Danio rerio: one gene and its partner. The protein of the gene in region 2 interacts with the protein of the main gene of each other region in a biochemical or structural test. Links are inferred from orthologs where the notes say so. Each region holds a gene or a part of one and is shown on either strand. Other genes may lie near its edges.

Region 1 (3,833 bases), on a different chromosome or scaffold from region 2:
TTCTTACAGATTTTGCTCCATATTGACGAGATAGACTGCAAATTTTAGATGGTAGATTTAACTACCTTAGAGTTAAAATTAACACTCCCTCAGAGTTTATATGGGAACCACTATAAAAGTGTTATCATCATCAACACTGAGAGAGTGTTAAGTAGCAAACTCTTATAGTGCAAAATATCGGTTCAATTTACAAAAAAAAAAAAAAAACCACCAGCTGTGGTTGCCAGAGTTTTTCGGTGAAAAATATGGAAGTTTTATAGAAATGTATTAATTTGTGGAAAATAACCGTATTTCATGAACTGATGCAATGTTCAGTTTACAAAATCATAGCTTAGTGCACAAAAATGTAAAGTCATTAGATGCAATGATGTGTTCATGTGTGATTGCAATTAACGAACAGATTTTCACTGCATTAGTAACTACACAGTTACCTTTAAACAAAAGAAGATGCAGCATAACATCAAATACCCTCAGTTCATCTTGGACTTGAACACAGACACTACTATCCTCCACAATGGTGACACAAAAAACGTTTTTCCTTTTTTAATTTTACGGAAAAATACCGGCAGCTGTGGTTGCCAGTAATCTGCTGTTTTTAACATTTTACATTCATAAATTCAGATTACAGTATATTTCTGTTAAAAACACATTCCACAGTCTGTATTTTTTATCGAACTATAGCATCACACAGTTGCTGCAGATTCTCAGCTGCACATTCATGATGCAAATCCCCTGTTCCATCACATCTCAAAGGTGCTCTATTAGATGAAGATCTGGTGACTGTTGAGGCCATTTGAGTACAGTGAACTCATAGTCATATTCAAGAAACCAGTCTGAGATGATTTGCGCTTTATGACATGGCGCGTTATCTTGCTGGAAGTAGCCATCAAAAGATTGGTACACTGTGGTCATAAAGGGATAGACACCAAGTCCTATGCCAAAAAATATCCCCCACACCATTAAACCACCACCACTTGTTGATACAAGACAGGATGGATCCATGCTTTCATGTTGTTGAAACAAGATTCTGACCCTACTATCTGAATATGGCAGCACAAATCAAGACTCATCAGACCAGGCAACGTTTTTCCAATCTTCTATTGTCCAATCTTGGTGACCCTGTGCGAATTGGAGCCTCAGTTTCCTGTTCTTAGCTGACAGGAATGGCACCCAGTGTGATCTTCTGCTGCTGTAGCCCATCTGCCTCAAGGTTCAACATGTTGTGTGTTCAGAGATGCTCTTCTGCATACCTCAGCTGTAGCGAGTGGTTATTTGAGGTACTGTTGCCTTACTATCAGCTTGAACCAGTCTGGCCATTCTCCTCTGATCTCTGGCATCAACAAGGCATTTGCGCCCACAGAACTGCTGCTCACTGGATGTTTTCTCTTTTTCCAAATATTCTCTGTAAACCCTAGAGATGGCTGTGCGTAAAAATCTCAGTAGATAAGCAGTTTCTGAAATACTCAGACCAGTATTTCATTATACACATTATAAATAGATATAATAGATAGATATTATAAATGTACCCAATATAGTGGTCGCTGAGTGTATAAGCGATTTAGGTTAATAAGGCAAAAAATATCATAGGAAACACAGTGAAACCCTCCTTGCTCTATTAAACAACACTTGTGAAATGTTTGAAAAGGAATTCAAATTTCACAGGAGGGATAATAATTTTTCCCTCAACTGTATAAGTAGACATACGGTCAGTACCTCAGTGTGAAAGACTAACATTCTCATGTCACATGCTAAGTGTGAGGCTAGTCCTAACATCGTTCTGCTCACATTAGTGCAGGCTCTCATTTCTCAGGCCAAGTGAACAGTCAGCATATTCTAACCACCAAAACCTCCCGCTGTACCCCACCCTGGTGCACATTTCTCAACATCTTGAATCACTAGGTGGATGGAAACCAAGTTGCTCGAGCAGAAGGGGGAGAGGAATGTTGTTTACTTTTTTGTCGGGCTTCAATGATTCATGCTAGGAGCAAATTACAGCTTAACAGGTGGATGGTTATTTTTTTTTATTTCCACTTGCAGCAGTCTGTCAGAGGAAGGGCCCTTGTGACTGCAAGAGTGTGACCACATCACCACACTCATAGATGCGGTCTATTTATTCATAAATGAAAACAAGTTCAGAAACTAGAGGGCGTTTGTGTTGCTTTATTAATATTTTCTATGGGCATCAAATATTTACTTCATTTGACCCTAAAGAATCTGTACCCTTTGAACAAGACTATTAATTAGGGTAAGTTTGCAAGCTTGTTAATCTGAGTAAGATTGTATATGCAGTCATTTTTTGAGGAGATGCCATAGTGTCTGTGTTTGGCTCTTACTTTAGGGTTTGGATGGCGGCTGATGATAAGGCTGACCGGGCCTGGTCCACATTCACTCAGGATGGCATAGGCTTCACTTAATGCCGCGTGTCTCAGGCTCACAGAATCCACTTCTAGAAGCTGGTCTCCTCGGCTAATGCATAACATACACTGATTAGTCACTTTAATCAAAGATTTGATCAAAAATATAAACAGTCTCCTTCATAAAAGAGTACAAAACCTAAATATCTCTCTTTCAAAAGGGAGCTATTATGCAAAAATCACTTTTATAAGGGGCTGGCTTAACATAGTTGTGTTGCAACAGTGTGTGAATTTGAGCAGCTTCTCATAGTAAAAAATTATTTATTTTATTTTTTATAATCACTCTTGATAAAAACAGAAACACTTTGAATTACTTTCCCCCTTTGTACGTGTCATCAGAGGGAGAAAGCCCCGCCCATTAGTGACAATCTCTCCCTCATTGGCTAAGAATGTTAGTCATTTTGTATCCGCCATTATGCTTATACACAGGCATTTGTAGCTCCGCCCTTTTTTGAGAACAGCACAATCTCATTTAAATTTAAAGCAACAGTCACCAAAATGTGTTTAAACATTAGATGAGTTAGTACCAAAGCCAAAACTAGTTTGGCAAAATAACAATATCACAGAGAAAAAGGATGTACACAACAATGAATGTGTTAGGGAATAATATTAGATTAAATCCTAATAGGAAAATTAAAGAGAGCCAAAAAAATATAACATTTATGTAAGATGTTTGTATAAGATGTTTGGTAATAACACTCTTATTTTAATCAATATAACTGTTTATTGAATCTGTTTTGTTTAAACGCACCAACATATATTTCCGATGTTCAATGAGAAATGGATGAAAATCTTATTTTTCAAATTGGATGTACTCATTCATGCAGTGCACTGTACATTTATAGCTTGGGGCTGCTGAATGCCTGATTCTGGTTGGATTATACACCTTCTACGGTGTTTATTTTTCAGGAATTGCACTGCTAAAGAAGACTGATTTTGAAAGTATTAGTTTCATATCACTTCTCCAAATTATTATAGTCATTACAGCCCATAACAGCAAGAGATTCAAAACCCACATTGATTAACTGACTTGAGTTCACTGAATTAAACCCAAGGTAATGGGTAAATGAATATTAGCAATTTGAGGGACCATTATTTTAGAATAAATCTACTCCACACAAAGGAATATTATCAAGCTGAGGGTGCATTATTTTAGAATAATTCAACAGCTTGTCATTAATTATTCCTTAAACAGGCAAGCTAAATGCAATTTTATAGTAGAAAAAATAGAAACCATTAGAGTTTCATATCACTTCTACAAATTATTATATAATTTCAAACGCAATTACAGCCTACAACAGCAATATAATTAAAACTCACATTGATTAACGGACTTAAGGTCATTAAATTACGAAACTTTTTTTGTTTGTCTATTTTTTATGGGACAAAGGTATGATTACATAACAGTACATTAACAGC
Region 2 (3,833 bases):
GACTGTAATTGCTGCTCTCTGAGTGTAAACATGTAAACACTTTAATCAAACTATTTCCATCATGTAGAATTTTCGCCGCATCTTGTGACAGGATAGTCTATACACATACAGATTTCTAACGCTACCTACAGAGTGCATCTAAGTTACCGAGAAATGCGGAAAGTTTTTTTTCTCCCATTTGCCGTGCGGTATCAAACATCCCATTAAAACTACATTCTTCCAGCAGTTCCTTGCATCCAACATCTCATTTTTCGCAGGGGGCATGCATGAAATGTTCCTGAATGTCAAACTGCAGTAAAAGTCAACAAATTAAGAATGTGGCAAATAATTTGATTACTGGTGTCCATGTAAACAGTCACTGTCTTTCTCTCCTGCGTCTGTGTGTTGTTTTAAAAATCAGCACTTGCTCAAACTGAAAACTTCCATTTTTATGCAAACCCTTCCCTCTTTTGCCACTCGACACTCCCACCTAAATAGAGCTGGAGTCACCCACTTTCCTAATTTTTTTCAAACTAGGTGTGAAAACACCCTGCTGAGACAGGGAGAGTTTAATGGCCCTTTAAACTTATAACACTCATTTAAATCTTAATACCGGGCCAATAAGATGAATGACAACTCAGTGATTTTTAAGCTTTATTTTAGTATAACCGAGATACTATTGTAGGTTTTATTTGTTTTTATTTTTGTTGTGCTATTTAAATATTTCTGTTCATTTAAATAGTTTTTATTGATTTAAATGTGAAAAGCATAAAAAAATACTTCCACAGCACTTACTCATTTTAGTTCATATTTTTTCAGCATTTACTAATACATTAAACTGGATCTTTTGTTTAATGCCAAGTCAACTTCAATGCAAACACTATTCAGAACAATACAAATAATAAATACAATAAAACAAACAAAACGTGTATCCCATTACATTTTCCATAATACAGATATTTTCTGGCAATGCTTTACTTAAACAGGTCTTTAAGTGACTTCATAAAAAGCCTTCTGCAATATATTATTAAAATAAAGATAAATATTTTGGCTAATGCATTGTGAATTAAAGCAATTTCATCTTTAATAATGTTAACTAAGATTAATAAATGTCAAACAAACATATAGCTTACTGTAAGTTTAAGTTGCCTTATATAGATAGACCTGTCATAAGGAATTTTTGTTGTGCAATATATTGTCCCAGGAATTGTTGCTATAAGCGATATTATTGTCATGTTGAGATCATTTTATGCCAATGATTGTATAATGACTATATAATAATGCATATAGTCATAAACACTTTAAAACACTTATCATTCTTAACGTTATTTAGATTGTAAAATTTGACGTTATTTCCTAGTGATGAGTTGCAGCTGGATGGGCATCCGCTGCGTAAAAAAACATATGCTGAATAAGTTGGCGGTTCATACCGCTGTGGCACCCGCAGATTAAGAAAGATACAAAGCTGAAAAGATAATGAATTTGATGTTAAAAAGGTTAAGGTCCTATTATATATACTATTAAATGTCTTATAAGGTAAATGTCCAGTTATAAATGTTGACACTGGCAAGGTAGAACGTAAACGTAATAGTAAAATGGCTTTAACATTATTTGTGAATTTGTAAAAATATATTGCAATGACAATAATTATTGAGGTGATATTCAAGTATTGCGCAATAAAGTCGATATAATGATTATTGTGACAGGCCTCAGCTTATATATTATATAATGTCAACAAAATGAGTTTTAGTGAATTTTTTTTTATATCAGGAGAAAGAAATTTTATTTTTTAGTTAGGGTTGAACAAAGTTCAAATAAAAAAAACTATAAATATTATATTGACAACTAACTGAAACAAATAATTTTTTTAGTAATTTATTCATTTATTTTATTTTCGGCTTAGTTCTTTTATTAATCCGGGGTCACCACAGCGGAATGAACCACCAGCTTATCCAGCACATGATTTAAGCAGCGAATGCCCTTCCAGCTGCAACCCATCTCTGGAAAACATCCATACACACTTATTCACACTCATACACTACGGATAATTTAGCCTACCTAATTCACCTATACCACATGGTCTTTGGACTGTGGGGGAAACCCATGCGAACGCAGGGAGAACATGAAAATTCCACACAGAAACGCCAAATTAATTTATTTTCATAGTGAAATTAAAGGGATAGTTCAACCAAAAACGAACATTCTGTCATTATTTACACACTATCCACTTGTTCCAAAAAATCTTGTGACAATTTTGAATACAAAAGAAGATATTTTGCAGAATGTTGGAAACCGGTAACCATTGGCTACAAGAGTATTTATTTTTTGTCAACAATGGATGTCAATGGTTGCAGGTTTTCAGCTTTCTTAAAAAATATCTTCTGTGTTCCACAGAAGAAAGAAACTCAAAGGTTTGTAACCAACTGAGGGCTAGTAAATAGTGGGTCAATTTTTGATTTTGGGTGAACTATCCCTTTAATGTTACAGTTTTAGTCTGTCACACCATAAACCAAACATAACAAACCATCAGCAAGCATATTAAAACCTTCTTGTAAAATCTCTTGGCAAAGCATTGTTTTGGTATGATAACAAGAATGGCTTTCTACACGTCTTATTGCTTTCAAAAGTTAACACTGAGCTTTTATTTTGGAGGAAAGCAGGAAGTGCTTAATGCTTCTCGATAAAACTACTCTCATAACAAATTTGACATAGTTACAACGTTACGTTTCAAACCAAGTAGTTTGTACTGTACTTTATAAGCGACCCAAACTCACAGCGTTTGCAGAGAAGGAGTACATATGGAGCAGCATTTGCTGTGACCAAATCCGCTCTGAAAACACCGGATCCCCGCATATAGACACACACTGCGCCGCGCTTCACCAAACATACCACGCCTCATCCTATTTCTGTACTTAAAGCTCAGACTTTGCTGTTAGAATGGCAGTTTCATAACATCTTTCCATATTATTATTATTATTATATCGCGTTTAATAGCGGCTCAGCGAGTAAATCTCAGACCCTCTCTGAAATACAGGAGTGTCCCACGCGCACACTCGCTAGAGGGCGCCGCTTTATCCTCCCGGGCTGTCGGAAGAAATCCGTGGATGAGAAGTATTTGAAAAGCAGGATTTTGCAGTTTGTTTAGTGACTGTTCAAGACAACTTTGCGAGTCACGTACATCAGAAAAACTCAAGTCGGAATACAATTCTACATCGCTCATAACAATGGACATATATTATTCAGTGCTAATGATCCCTGAAAAAAACAAACACGCCAGGAAACGTTAATATAGTGGTGTTTGAGTGAGTTTTCATACCTGTGCAGAGGCCTGTCCTTCAGCCCTGGAGCTCATGGCGAGGGTGGGGCTTCCGCTGGGGGCGGAGCTGGTCGACTGTGACCTCCCTTCAGACCGCCTGGGCGTCACCGTGTTACTGTAGTAACCGCTCACCTCCTGATATCCGCTATCTGAGTAGGAATTCATCTGAGTCGAGCTGCGCGAGTTTGCAGCAGACCCTGAGCAAGCGAGAACAACAAAACACTGAGACAGGCAACTGATTTTTCAGTTCAGGAATGGTAAAACATTTGAACTATGGATTGCTGGGTTAAAGCTCCATCAATTGAATCCGTGGCCTGTGTTCGATTATACAGCAAATAACGCCTCATCGCGCAGGCTGTAAAAGCAAATGAGAATACACACACTTTGATACCAAGTCTACGTTAAACCTAACATGTTGTGATACTTGTTTTACTGTAGTATCAGCAATATTTGCGAGTGATCATTCTTGAGCAGCTGCAGTAAACGGCTCCAGCTCTCATTAATGTAAACAGACGGGATAAAAGCGGAATGTTTTGCT

What was found.
Region 1: the proteins of pkp4 (region 2) and pdzd2 form a complex in vitro, tested with the Homo sapiens proteins (2 studies listed by BioGRID and IntAct, with this or other methods). The link is inferred for Danio rerio from reciprocal best matches to the Homo sapiens genes PKP4 and PDZD2.

The regions. Positions count from the first base shown.
Region 1 is NC_133180.1:41,881,553-41,885,385, forward strand, and holds part of pdzd2 (PDZ domain-containing protein 2), read right to left. Parts: intron 2,467-3,833; coding exon 2,334-2,466; intron 1-2,333.
Region 2 is NC_133181.1:13,210,812-13,214,644, forward strand, and holds part of pkp4 (plakophilin-4), read right to left. Parts: intron 3,493-3,833; coding exon 3,296-3,492; exon of another isoform or gene 2,790-3,295; coding exon of another isoform or gene 2,754-2,789; intron 1-2,753. UniProt on the Homo sapiens protein: Plays a role as a regulator of Rho activity during cytokinesis. May play a role in junctional plaques.